Linked DNA regions of Rhinolophus ferrumequinum. The protein of the gene in region 1 interacts with the protein of each later gene in a pairwise test. Links are inferred from orthologs where the notes say so. Each region holds a gene or a part of one and is shown on either strand. Other genes may lie near its edges.

The links. The genes of interacting proteins can lie anywhere in the genome.
Region 2: the proteins of NFE2L2 (region 1) and MAFG interact in binary tests that used the Homo sapiens proteins (3 or more experiments, as listed by UniProt). The link is inferred for Rhinolophus ferrumequinum from reciprocal best matches to the Homo sapiens genes NFE2L2 and MAFG.

What each region holds. Positions count from the first base shown.
Region 1 is NC_046291.1:48,398,326-48,405,355, reverse strand, and holds the start of NFE2L2 (nuclear factor erythroid 2-related factor 2), read right to left. Parts: upstream 3,098-7,030; 5' UTR 2,538-3,097; coding exon 2,493-2,537; intron 2,171-2,492; exon of another isoform or gene 2,148-2,170; intron 1,925-2,147; exon of another isoform or gene 1,332-1,924; intron 1-1,331.
Region 2 is NC_046304.1:54,701,854-54,708,860, forward strand, and holds the start of MAFG (transcription factor MafG), read right to left. Parts: upstream 3,007-7,007; 5' UTR 2,953-3,006; intron 2,757-2,952; exon of another isoform or gene 2,671-2,756; intron 2,021-2,670; exon of another isoform or gene 1,853-2,020; intron 497-1,852; exon of another isoform or gene 186-496; intron 1-185. Other genes in the region: PYCR1 (pyrroline-5-carboxylate reductase 1, mitochondrial), read right to left, coding at 5,582-5,747, 6,650-6,813, 6,989-7,007. UniProt on the Homo sapiens protein: Since they lack a putative transactivation domain, the small Mafs behave as transcriptional repressors when they dimerize among themselves.

The DNA of each region.
Region 1 (7,030 bases):
GGCCTAAGTTATTTTTTAATGCAGAAAGACGGATGTGAATTGTGTATTTACCCTCCTATATGTTGCTTCCACAATCTCAAGAAATTTTTCACATCCAAAAAGTCAAGTTGGTCTTTGGTTAATAGTCATTCAGGAGATGAGAGATCTGTTGCATTTTTCTTTTTAAAAATAATCTTATCTGTGTAGTCCAAGATCAACTTCATCTCTTATACACAAAGTACTTTATCTCTCCAAGACACCCTTGAAAAGAGTTAATGGTTCCTTCCACCTGTTGGAGAAAGAATCTAAGGCTCTCCTTACTGACCTGTTCATGAACACCTTCTCTGTACAGAGGTAAAAACCAGGATCTTAGTACCACATCACACCTGGAGTTTCTCTGACCAAAGTACAGAATCCACTCTTTGTTCAACTCTTTCTAGACTACAAACAATGATTTAATATGAATCACAGGCATGAAATTAATTCTAAATTTTACTCCATTTTCTTTTTCCATAGTCTTCAAATGTATACTATTGATGTCTGATTACAAAGACAGAAAAGGAGTTACCTTACCAAACAAAACTGAAAAAATTCCCATTTAAATGAGAAAGCAGTGTATATGCCTTATGCACTTCTGCATATGAAATGTTAAATTACATAGTAAAAAAAGAAAAAGGAAAAACAAAATAATGAAGAGCTTCAGGTTACAATTCCTGAATTTAGGAAAGCTAAAGGTCACTAGCATTTTATATCCTTTTGTCATATAGATGGCTATATAGATTACTCTTGAACAGCTCGTAAATCCAAAAGCACACTTCTTCATACTGGTGGAAACCAGGGGAATACATTCCCTATTATTACTGGGGGAAAGTTCAAGACTGTAAACAGCTTCAAAAAAAAAGCAGCATAATTAATACATTGCTAATGACGTAAAACCTTATTTTACATCTTCAGGATCAGTCTAAAACATTAGGTTTATGAGCATAAACATATTTACTGTACTTATTAAGTTATACATTTCCTTGAACCAAATATTTTTTCCTCAGAACCCAATTACCAAAACATTGGAAATATAAATATCTACTCCTTTAAAAGTCCCTACAAAGTATGAATAGAAAATTTTCACTTTTACAACAATTTAAAGAACTTTATAGCACAGTATTATGTAACACAGGTGTTTCACCCTCTCTCTGCCCTTGCAAGAGAAGCAACATGCTAAGAAATCGAGGCAAATTCTCAACAGAAAAGGAAAATTATACATAGCATCCAAAGGAGAAATAATACATGAAAGCCAAAAACTTAGTAACAGCCTAAAAGCAATAACAATTCTAATGTACACTCGCTACACTTACCGTTGACAGCACAAAACACAATATCCTGCCTTACACATTTTGGAATTGCAATTCTGAAATGCTAAATCCAAAGACAAAGCCGCCCTGGGGAAAAATAACAATTGCGCAACAGATCAACAGCTCCAACTTGTCCCTTGGCCTCGGCGCGGCAAGGTTTGCACGCTATAAAGCAGGAAAGGGCCAACCAAGGGCCGCCGTGACAACCAACCAGCCACTGTCACCGAGGCCAAGGCCACGCACGCGGCGCGCGCCACGGGGAGGAATCCCGCGGGAATCGACAAGTCCGGTTGCGGTCCTCAGCCCCACCCACTCTTCCCTGCGCGTTGAGAGGGGATCCCGGGTTCTCAGAGCCTGAACCTTTCCAACTGCGCGAGGCCCACTTCGGCCGCCGCACGTCGGGGCATTCGAGCGCTCCGGGCACTTGGGGACCTCCTCCGTCCCCCACCTAGGGGCAGGGCTTTCTCGCCAAACTGCCTCAGAGAGTGATCCGACGAACAGACAGATTATTTTGCAAAGGAACACCCTTAGACGGCCCAGCAGGATGAGCACGCAGTGCCGCAGACCGCGCAGGTTGTGGGGCCGGGGTCAGCGGCGGCAGAGGAGGGGTTCCGGGTCCCAGCCCGGAGGGGACCTCAGCTCCCCCGAGAGTGGCCCCGTGACTAGGCACATTTTTGCCGGCTCCAAGGCGGGGGAGACGCGCGGCCCCGGAAGGGCCGGGCCGCGCCGGCTCAGACCGCCAGCGTCCGCCCCCTCCTACCCTGCAGCCTCTGGGGCCGCTCAAACTCGGGGGGCCTAATGGGGCTCCTGGGTCCCAACCTGGTGGCCGGGGACGCAGCTAGAGATTCCCGTTCACCCACGCACGCACGCGGGCGTAATCCCAAGCCCCAGCCAGTCGCCTTCTGAGGCCGCAGTCAAGTTGTCGGTCTGACCACCCCGTTGCGCCCCTACTCCCCTCACCGCCCCTTGGGTCCCCGCTCCCGATCCCCGCCCCACCCCGCCCCGGCGCAAGCGCAGCGACTCCAGTGCGCGGCCGCTGCACTCCAGGCTCCGGCCACAGACGGGAGGAGAAGCCGGCTGTGGCTGTCCGTGCCGGGCCGCGGCTCCCTCGCGCCCCTGGCCCCGTCCTGGTACCACAGCGGGGCCCTGAGGGCCGGGCAGCACCTGCTGGGACGGCAGTCCTGGCGGCGGCAGCTCCAAGTCCATCATGCTGAGTTAGGGACTGTGCTCTGGGGCTCCCCGACGGCGGCGGCCCTGTCCTGGCTGCCGAGACGCGCTGCGGACCAGGCGGCACTGACAGCGGCAGCGGCTGCGGCGACGGCGGGCTCTCGGGCACTCGCTTCTCGCCGACACGGCCCGAACAGCCGGCCGGGCTCCTGCCCCGACACGCCTCCCGCCCCCCGAAGGCGGGGCAAGAGCCCGGGCCTTTCCTTCCCTGACTGGCCGCGGGAGGAGGTGCCGAAAATCCCCCACCCCCGCCCCGGCTGACGCAAGAAGCTCGCGGTCCTGGGGCGGGAAAGGGCCGTGAGCGGGGGTCCCAGTGGGCGGCTGCGGGGGGGGGTGGTGCCGGGAGGAGGGCTGCTTTAGCTCCCGGGTCCCCGCGCTCGATGTACCCTATCCGCACATAAAGCCAACACTCTCCGCCCGCGAGATTAGCAGTTGTTTGCCGAAGGTCGCTCGGGTTCGGGCGCTTTGAGACAGTTTAAACAGTTGGAACAAACACTCCTAGAGCCCCGGCAAAGGCGCTGGTATCGGAGCTGCGCCGCCCTGATTTGGAGTTGCAGAACCTTGCCCCGCTTTATCTCACCCCACCGCCCGAGAGTGGCGCCAGCCCGGGGGACGGGGGCTAAAGGCTTGGACCCGGCCCCGAGCACCGTGAGCTGCCCTCTCGCCCTCGGTCCCATCCGGGACTTGCCCAGGGGAAGTGTGGACCGCGCGGGGAGCTCGTGCTCGCGGTCACCCTGAACGCCCTCCACTTACTCCCACGCGCCTGCATTCTCGCTAAGCTCAGGACGCCAAGGGCAAACGAAGAAGTCTCTTTTGGTTGGAGAGGAGGCAACAACAGCTTCATTTTCCCACCAACGCACACACACGATAGCACAGATGGCGTCCTTTAACACTGTGCAGTACTAGGACATGCCATAATCTTGACAAGTTTCTTTTCAGGTACTCACGATGAATTTAAAAATAAAACAAAGTTATAAAGTAGTTTGTATAGTATGGATCACTGTTGTAAAAACATGTGCCTAGAAAAAGAATTCCAAGTTGTCCACCAAATAGTAGTAGTTGTAGGCTCATGAATGATTTTTATCTTTGTTATTTTAAATGTTTTCAATTTACAATGTATTAACGTTTTACATGAAAAACAATTACTTAAAAATCAATCACTACCCACAGAAAACTTCAGGTTCTTGAAAACAGGAATACTGTGAAATCTTACAAGATTTAAAAAAGAATTGATAAATTATTTTCTCTTACGCATTAACATAACTCTTTCACAATACTGGTTTTCAGATTTTAGCTTCTTGGAATTATGCAAAACCAGGTGTGATGCCAGCAGTGATGCCAGCAGTGGTTTTACTATTTCATTCAAAAACCACACACACAGCCCCTTGGCTATAGCAGATCAACGCCCAAAGAACTTACTTTCTCATGGTTGCATAATTTGACACTCCCAGGATTTATCTGTAAATTTATATGTTCAAATAGTCCTTGGGGTAAGTGAAGCCTACATTAATTGCTTGTAATGGAAGCAAGTTTCTTCAACTTGAATTAAACCTTTTTAGCTGCTATGTGAAAAGCCTGCAAAATAATCTGCACACTGAAAACAAACAGGAGAAATTATTTACAATGAACCTGACATGAAACAGGCAGAGATATAATGAAATGACATTTCTGCATCAAAGAAGGGCAAAGTATATTGTTAACAATTGGAGTTACGTATTGAAACTACTACATTGGAGAAGGTAGACAATGAGCCGAGGAGGTAGGAGATAACAAAGGCATATATAACATGGCTGCTGCCCTCAAGGAGTTTGTAAAGTGTTTGGTATTTCCTCCTTGAGCAACAAATTGCCATTGAGTTTAGACTCAATGAAATAACCTTTACTTTTACAGAAGTGAAATTGCTGGGAGTATATTATTTTAGGCACCTGCAGAGTACATATTTTCAAAGGGAGTAGAACAATATGATAAGAGTCTGAACATGTTTAAGAAAAATAAACACTAGGGAAAAGCTATTTGGCGTAAGAAAAGGGAACCCCAGTCTCATAGCCGCCACATAAAGCAGTTTCCCAGTCTTTGCAGACATTGAAACAAGATTGTCTTTATGTTAGGCCTTGCCTTCCAAACTTATATATTGTGCTGTGGGTGCACAGATTCAACATGTTGAGAAGCTCCAGAAGAACTGGAAAGATGATGCTGGTTTTTCTCTCCTGTCCTGGTGCCATGGGAGCCCTTTTTACTGCCAGGCTCTCCTAGCTACTGCTTTATTTTTTCCCCTCAATTGGTTTCACATTCTACTGATCCTTGTACATTGATGTCTGAATTCTTTGATGTCTTTGGAAAGACAACCCTCCGTATATGCTTGAAATGTGTCAATATTGCAATACTTTGCTCTAGAGTTCTCATAAAAATTAAGCATCATCAAGTAAGCCTTCTGAGCCCACAGTTTGGATAATGGTAATGCAATGACCAATTTATTTCACTTTCTTTTCCTTGATCTAAGCTGCCAACTTTGTAAGGCCCAAGAAAGTACCTACTGTTTCAAAATCCTTCCCCATCTTGAGTTTTCTTCACTCTTCTTTTCACTTCTCCTTAATTGTAATCCATGTTTGAGCTAGGAAATACCGAGATTCTATTGGAATTATAGCTGAAATTGTAAATTTGTTCAACTTACAGTTGGAGCATTTCAAGTAGCTGGTTTTTAAAGATGGCACCTAAGGAATCAGCCTTCTGATACCGATGTAATCTCCTGACACTGAATCAAGGCTGGCCCTCTGATTTGCTTTAACTTATGGAAGGAGGCTGGAAATGACACACTGTCAGGTCTCCTTAATTTTATACTCTTAGAAGTCAGCCATCACATAAGAAGTCTGACTATGTTCATGGGGAGAGAAGCCATGGGGAAAAGCACTGGGGGATGAGACTCCAAGCAGAGAGAGAGGCTATATGAACCAAGGCATCAGATGGGTGAGTGAAGAAACCATTCTGGACCTTCCAGTCCACCTAGTCAAGCCCTAGAGGACTGCAGCCCCAGCTGCTATCTGACTGCAACCACATATAAAGACTCTAAGGAGACCCACAGAAGCCTGCCTGGCTAAGCCTAGGGAACATAAAGAACTGTGTGTGAGAGATTATAATAGTTTTCAAGCACTAAGTTTTGCTGTGGCTTGTTTCACAGCAATAGATAACCAAAACAGTGTGTATTGAATATCAAGATTTCTCCTGGCTGCTTTTTGTTTGTTAACCATTACTGGGAGCACATATAGGACTAGTACTTTGCAAACCCTCAGAAGCAAACTGACTTCCCTGTGAATGAGGAAGGTATCTTTCCTATAATATATGCTTGTTGCTACATACAAAGTAAATCACCTCATCACAGCATGCGTCAGTATCATACCATTAGATGGATGTTGGTGAGATCTTCTCCTTATCAAAATACACTTAAGGAACACAGACATTTCAGCAATTAAGTAGATGGAGGAATAAATGCATACAGAGATTCTGGCCCTGACATAACCTCATTTATACCAGTTTTGTAAGATACTTTCTGAATATCTGCTGAGGGAATTTGAACTTCAGGAGCAGCGTGCATAGTGGATAAACTGAACTCCAGTATAGCAGTGTTCAACACAATTAGTGTATTAATTTCAAAACACACCCATAACCTTGGTTCCTTGGTGTGCACATCTCATTATGCAAACTACTGACACAAAGAGCTATCAATCTCCAAAGCCAGTTTTAGCTTGTAGTTTCCTGCTCATAAGAGAAACGTGCTCTGCAGGAGCCACAGTGCAATGAGTAAAGAAAAACACCCAGAAGTTTAAAAGAGTGCTTCTGAATGATATGTGTTGACATCTATTTAAATATATATGCACAGGAAAAAAATACTGAACATATATGCTCAAAAATGGTAAACATAGTTGTTCTGATTAGTGATGATTTTATTTTCCTCATTTTGCCTAAATAAATAAACCTGCATTTTCCTAAATAAACATATATTACTTTTATAATAATAAGCAAAACAGAAGTGGGGGTAGGAGTGTAAGGGGGGTATTAAGCTTTTCTCCCAAGCTACTGGGTCCACTTCATTTTCAAATTGAATTTTAACCATAAGCTTTGGAAATCTTTCTATTCTGTACCTACTAGAGTGGAACCTGGAGAATTTGATCAGACCTTTAAGTGTGGTTGTGGTAAGGGTCTAAAAATCCTTTGCCCTTTTAATCTATTGCTATATTTGCAAAGTGGAATAGGGGCCCCTAGACAAAGATGGAATTTTATGAATACATCAAGTAGAGACTAAGAACTACAGCATTGGAGTGATGTGCAAAGTGGCTGAGACATAACATCACTGTGTGGGGAAAATAGAGTGCACAGACACACAAAAAACACCGTGTTTCCCGAAAACGAGACCTAGCCGGACCATTAGCTCTAATGTGTCTTTTGGAGCAAAATTTAATATAAGACCTGGCCTTAAACTA
Region 2 (7,007 bases), on another chromosome or scaffold:
TCACTTTCTGCTTCCTGAAACCCCACCAAAAACATTTTTGTACTCCTAGTCCTGGGATCCTGGCTACAATAGCTGCCGCCATACCGTGCCCCCCACTTTCCAGGTTGGATGCAGGGCTAAGACAGACTGCGTTCTCCCTCCTGGAGGAGCACTTCAGGTAACTCTGGGCCAGGTCGCCTTCTTACCCTCACTGGAGCTAGTGTGGGCTGGGGAGGTAGAGGCACGAGTGGGCTCCAGGGTGGACTGCACCTACCCAGCCTTGCATCAGGAAGCAAGGCTGCAGGAAGGAGGCCACAGGCGTCTCCCCACAGCCAGGCCGCCCAGGGACTCAGGCAGCCCTGGGAGCCCAGTTCTTCCAGAGAGGAGGCTGAGCAGACCACAGCTGGAGGTGAGGAGGTCCTCAGGGCCCCATGCCCAGCCTGGGCCAGGCCCTCTCGGCAGTGCACAAGCTGGGGTGTAGGGGCCCTGTTCTGTGTCCTACCACTGTCGGCCCAAAGGAAAAGCCCCAGCACCAGCTTTTCCCACCCCCATGCTCCCTCCACCCCTGACTGCTGAGCACAGCGGTGACTTCCTGAAGAGATCACACAGAAAAGTGCTTCCTCAACAGATTTCAGCCTCCGCAGAAGGCCTGAACTCAGCACAGTGCAGCCAATTGCCTCCTAATCAAAGGTGTGTGTGAGCAGGGGGGAAGGGGCAGCAGGTCTCAGGAAAGCCAGTGCTTCCAGCCTCCTGGCCTGGCCTCGCCCAGTAGACACACACTGATGGGACAGACACAGCTTTGGAGATGGGGTGGCATGGGAATGATGGCTCAGGGCACCCCTAGAAGCCAGGCGGAGGGGATCCTAGAGGCCAAATCAAGAAACTGCCCCCCCACAACTCTCCTCCCCACCCCAAAGGCTGGACCAGAGCTGGGGCTCGGTCATCCTCCTTCCTCAGCTCCCCCATAGGCTGAGTCCACCTTGTGGAGAAGGCCCAAACGGCCCGCATCCACCAAGGTACCCTGGACCATCCACTCAGGCCGGGAGCCAGTCAGGAAGGGGCAGGAGGTCTGGGCAGCTCCAGCCCCTTCCCCTGGGCCCATACTCCAAGGCATGGACACGAGGCAGGAGGCAAGACAGCCAGCCTCTGCTCTTTGTCCTGGCCTGCAAACCCCAGTGGCCAAACCTTCCAGGCAGGCATGGCCTTGGGCACTCTGGCACCCTGACCTAGCCGGGCCTCACTCCCACCCTGCCTATCAGACCACCTCCTCCAGAAGCCCCCAGCCACTAAAAGTCACTCTGAAAAAAGTCTAATACTTAACTTCCACCGAAGCCTAATGTACTGAGAAGACTTAATGCAACACCCCTCCAGAAATCTGCCCTTTCCTAGGGTATAAAATTCCAGGCAAAAGATCAGCTGAAGAGTTAAAACAGCTGGCATCTCTAAGCCCAGGCAGGGCTGACTGTGTGTGCGTGTGACTCGGAGAACAAACCACAAGGCCAGCCTAGCCTGGCCATGAACCCAAGGCAAGAAGGGTCAGCTCTGGTCTAGACGAAACACTGCCCTACCCCTCGAGCCAGCAATCACCCACACACCCAGGAGAGGTGGCCCAGGCCACACGACCCTCAAGTGGTCACTTCCCAACAGTCGCCATCACCTGGCCCAAAACCCATCAGGGCCGCGTTCTCCGCTAACCTGCACAACACTGGGCCCCAACCTCAAGTGAGACAGCTAGCGGTGACTGGGAACTGCACTCTTAAACCCCAGCCCACCTGCTGTGCTCTGCAGGCTAGGCACCCACCACGCTACCACCACCCAGAGCCTCAACCCAGACTCCAAGGCTGGGCTGCAAAGAGGGGCAGGGCCTGCTCACCAGACACCTTGATCCCCAGTGCCCACGTCGTGCGGCTCCCTCTCATGTGCAGTCTCCTGGGAGCGCTGCGCCTGCTTGCCCCCTTCCCTGTCCACTTTCACCCCGGGACTCCAGTACAGGCTGTGCTACGCTGGGCTCACTGGGGGAGCCCTGGCTCCTGGCTCAACCCCACCCTTTCCTCCCCCCTACCCGTTGCCCCTCCTTCCAGGAGGCCCCACTGCCTCCCTCTCTGGCCTGTGTACCCCTCTCTTCCCTGCCCAGGGGCACCCAGACTGGCGGACCAGACCAGTCGCAGGGAAAGCCTGTTTCCCGCCCCCTAGCACGGCCCCCCTAAGCTCCTCCCCTCCTCTCACTCAGAGAACTATTTCCCGGTTAGGAGAACTGTCCCAGCCTTGGGTCGGGAACCAGCCGCTGGAGAAGAGCATGCCTGGGAGGGATGGACAGGCCAGGGGCTTCACCTTCTACCGCGCCGTGGCCCCTCCAGTTCCTCCTCACCACCCTGCCTTCAACTCGCACCTCAGTCCAAACTTAAAAAGCCGCCCCAGCCCCTGGGCCCGGCTCCTTCTCCACGTCCCCACGGTTCCCTTCCACCCCTCGTTTCCCCGCCTTTCAGGCCCCAGGCCCCTAGCTCAGATCCCCCGGGCACCGGGATGAGCATCCAGTGACCTCATGCTGATGACTCAGCAAGTCTCCCTCGGGGCTCTGGCCCGCGTGTGACGGAGCGAAAGCGACGCGAGCTGGGTCTTCCCAGCGCCCCCACGCCAGCCCTCCCGGGGCCCGCCAAGGACCCCTGCACCTGGGGAGGCGGCGACACACACCTGATGAATCAGCAGCTCAGGCCCGGGCCGCCGGGCTCCTCCGCGGAGCCCTGGGCGCCCAGTTCGACCCCACCCTTTCCTCCCGCCGCCCCGGCCGCCCCTCCCTCCACTGAGCGAGCCCCGCGCACGCCCCGCCCGCTCTTCGCCGCCCCGCGGCCCACCCCCAGAACCTGGGCGCGGGGGCCAGCAGTGCCCTGCCCGATGGGGAAATCGAGGCACGGGCCGCCAGCGGCGCGCGGGGCAGACCCGAACCCAGGAGCGCCCGGCCCGCGCCGCACTCACCCACCACACTGCGGGCCCGGGCGGGCCGAGGCCGGGGCGAGGGGCGGCGGGCGCTCCGAGGCCGCGCGGGGCTGGGCCGCGCGGGGGCTCCGGGCCCGGGGTGGGGGCTCGCCGCCTGCGCGGGCCGGGCCGTGCGCGCTGGGAAGGCTGGGCCGGACCAGGCTCGGTATCCGCCGCCGCCGCCGCCGCCGCCGCCGCCGCTCCACAGACGTCACATGATGTTTGGTCACGTGGGCTCCATTCATGAAGCGGCGACGCGACCCGCCGGGGCTTAAAGGGGAAGGCGCGACGGCGGCGGCGGCGGCGGAGGCGGAGCGCGCTCAGACTGCGCCTGCGTGCCCGGGCGCCGTCGCCCCGGCAACGCGCACCGCCCCCTGCCCGGGCGGGGTCTCGCGGGACTGGCTCGGGCGCGCCCTCCCCGGCGGCCACGCCCCCACCGGCCTTCAAGGTGGGGCCTTGTGACCGGTTCGGCCGCTTTCCTGACCCTTGTGTGCTGATACTTTCAAAGTCCATGTGTCCAAGAGGCCCGCTTCTACCTGCCCAGGGTGGGGGTCTCTGCCGGGGACTCACTCCTTAGGCGGGCCCTGCATGGACTCCAGGCCCAGCACTGGCCGCAGTAGTGGGTACGTGGGGAGTGACCAGGCCTGTCGGGGCCACCCTGGCAGACGCGGGAACGCAGCCCTGGCCCTGGTTTTTTCTGTTGTGCATTTTCTTCTGTGTCTCCTGTCTCCCTTTACGTTTGGAGGGCTCCCCAAAGTGTCTCCTCTGCCCACCTGCGTGCACGGGGTCTTGGTTCTGAGTGGGCCCAGGGGGAGGGGAGAACTGGAGATGAGATACTGCCAATGCTGTTCCTTGAAAACCCCCGCTCAGGAGCTCTCCTGATCCCCACCACCCTCCTGCCCTTTGGGGGACCCCACCTCTTGTTCTGAGCGCCCCTGGCACATCCTAGCTGCCCAGACCAGGTCCCCTAACCCACCAGAGCAGGGGTGGGTGTAAGTGGTGTCAACCTCTGAGGCAAGGGGCCTCCTCTTACTATCTTCACGCTCTGTGACTACTTTTTGATGTCAAATGCAAGCACTCTGGCTCCATCAAGTGTCCTCTCCGTCACTCCTCTGATCTTGCGATGGTTAATTTTGTGTCAAATTGACTGGGACACGGTGACCAGATATTTGGTCAAATATTATTCTGGCTGTTTCAGTGAGGGTGTTTTGGCATGAGATCGGCATCTAAGTCGGTAGATGTTAACAGATTAACTTCTGGAATGTGAATGGGCCTCATCCGACCAGTTGAAGGCCCAAATGGGACGAAAGGACCAAGCCTCCCTGCTGTGAGAAGTTCCCTGCCTTTAGACGCCACCTGCCTGGTGCTCTCTCGGCCTGTTGTCCTTTGAGTTGGAATGTCGGCTACCTGGGTCTCCAGCCTGACGCCCCACCCTGCAGACTGGACTTGCCAGCCTCCATAGTTGTGGCTAAATCTTTCTTATATGTAACTTACTATCTATCTCCGTGTCCTACTGGTTCTGTTTCTCTGGAGAACCCTAATCTAGCTCTCTACGGCCCTCCTGCTCCAACTGCCTCTGCCTGGGTGAGTGGGGGCGACATATGCCCCCACTAAGCCCGGAGATGTGAAGGATGCAGAGGCTGGTGCTCCCCCCACAGTGGGGAGCAGAGCAAGCCCAGCCTATGGTGCCAGCTTCCCAGACACTTCTAGCGACTGGGGCTTGAGGAGCTATCCCCTTCTCTAGAGGCTCCCTCCCCTCTGCTCACGGGGAGACTCCAACCCTGGCAGCCTAGCTACCTTGGAACTAAGGGCTCTGGGGCCCGGGGACTACTGGCTTAGCCTTTACTATTACACCCAACAGCAATGACCCCCTGTGGCAGCTGGAGGCCACCCTCCACACATGCTGACAAAGTCAGAAGTTAGGGCACTGGGCTGGAAACCAATTTATTTAACCTAAAAGGCCAGGGAGAGAAGTGACAGTGTCTGTGGTTCAGGTCAGGAATGGGGGACAGTGGCCTGAGAGTGCTGGTGGCCTTGGAAATCCAACTGTCTGAGGAGCCCTTTTCTCAAATGTCAAATGGGGATGAGGGGTGATGAGCTGGCCTAGAACTGTGGTCCCTCCCATTGGACTCAGAATGCCTGGGATCCTCTGGTGCTTCCCACACTGAGGAAGGAGGTGTTCCCCCCGCCCCCACCATGAGTGGAGGTTAGGGAAGTAGCAGATGTGGGGCGGGACTCCCCCCTTTCGCTAGACCTTCACAGGGGCCAGGGGGAACCTCGACCTTTGTGCTCAGGCCAAGCCTCAAACCAGCTAACGCTGAAAGGTGAAGCCCCCAAACCCCGCTTCCTGAGCTCCTGAAAGGTGGTCCTGATTTGGTTTGGGGCAGAGGAAGTGCAGGTTTGAGGTCAGAGTCCATCCCTGTTCTGGGTCAGGAAGCATTAGGGGACTGTGGAGATTCCCATTGGCTAGTGATGTGGCCCCTCCCTGGCTATGACGCTGGCTGACCCCAGGTGACCAAAGTCGTGGGCAGTGGGCCACCCTATGTGGCGTGGGGCTAGACACCCAGCACAGGAGCTCTGAGCCAGGAGAGAGAAGGTGGCGGGCAGCCTGACAGGCAGGTGAGACACTTCAGTCTTTCTTGCCGGTCGGGGCCATGCTTCGGGGAAGCAGCTTGGCGTGGCCAGAAGGAGCCAGCAGGGCCCTCGGAGGGGAGTCGAGCTTCACCTTGTCCAGGACAGTCTTCTTGATGGCAGCTGGCGAGACCTTCTCGCGGTCAGCCATGGATTGCAGCTCCCTAGGGAGGCAGTGAGGGTTGGGTCCAGGGCTCTGCCTCCTTCCTGAGCCCATGTGCCCATGAGGGAAGAGGGGTCAAGGCCCACAGCTCCCGGCACCTGCCAGCCCAGGGTGCTGCAGTGCTGTCACACCCCCTTCAGGGCCCTTGCACCTGCAGTTCCCTCTGCCAGCTACCCTCCCCTAGACTGCTATCTGCCTCCCTCTCACCTCATTCAAATCGGCTCAGTCACCAAATCTAGTGTCAGGCCCCCAGACTCTGAGCCCTCACTGTCCTGAGCACAGGATATGTGCCTCGTCTGTCTCCCCTGTGGGTTGGGGCCAGCAGGGCAGCACTGTGTTCTGGCCTTGTTGTCATGTGGTGGCACTCGGAGAAGCCTGGGGGGTTAGACTGGAGGGCAGGCGGGGGCTGAGAAAGATGCCCGTCCATCCTCAGACCTGAATAAGGGACAGTAACTCCGAGCTGAGACACCAAACTGTGTCTGTCTGTGCTCTTTCGTTTTTCTGGCTGCTCTCATGGAGCACACTGCACCGCGTCCTGCTTGTCTAACTTGCTTAACCTCCCCAGCCAGGCTGGGACAAAGGTATTATTGTCAGGCCCACAGAGGTTCCTTCTGGTTCCCCTGGGCCCACCTCCCCAGCTTGGATGATCACCCCAGTCTGACGGCCACCGGTGATGAAACCACGTGGGGAGCAGAGTGAGCACCCAGAGGGCTGCCCCTCCCGGCAGGACGATGGGCACTGCAAACCATATGCCAGGGAACCTCGGGGCTCCCTGTGCCCTGCCCACAGTCAGGCCCGAGCTCGATAAACATCCACTGCGTGGATGACTGAGGAGACGAGTGAGGCTGAGGGCTCTGGTGCACTGGGCGGGAGGCCCGGGGGCTGGCAGCAGCAGGAACCCACCGTGTACGGATGCAGGAGGCCTCCACAGCGTTGATGAGCAGGGAGCGGAAACCCCCACTCTCCAGCACGTGCAGGGCGTGGATGGTGGCCCCTCCAGGAGAGCAGACATTGTCCTTGAGCTGGCCTGGGTGCTGTTCTGAGTCCAGTAGCATCTTGGCAGCCCCCTGCAGCCAGAGAAGATAGGCTGACGGCTGTGGGGGCACCCAGCCCCCTCCACAGGGCACTGCCCCAGCCCCAGCCACTGCGGCACCCACTGACTTTCCACCCATCCATCCCCGTGCACCAGCCTCTCGCCTAGCAAGGAGTGGCCCCCACCAGAGGGTCAGAAGAAACACTGACCAGCAGAGCCTGGGCCCCG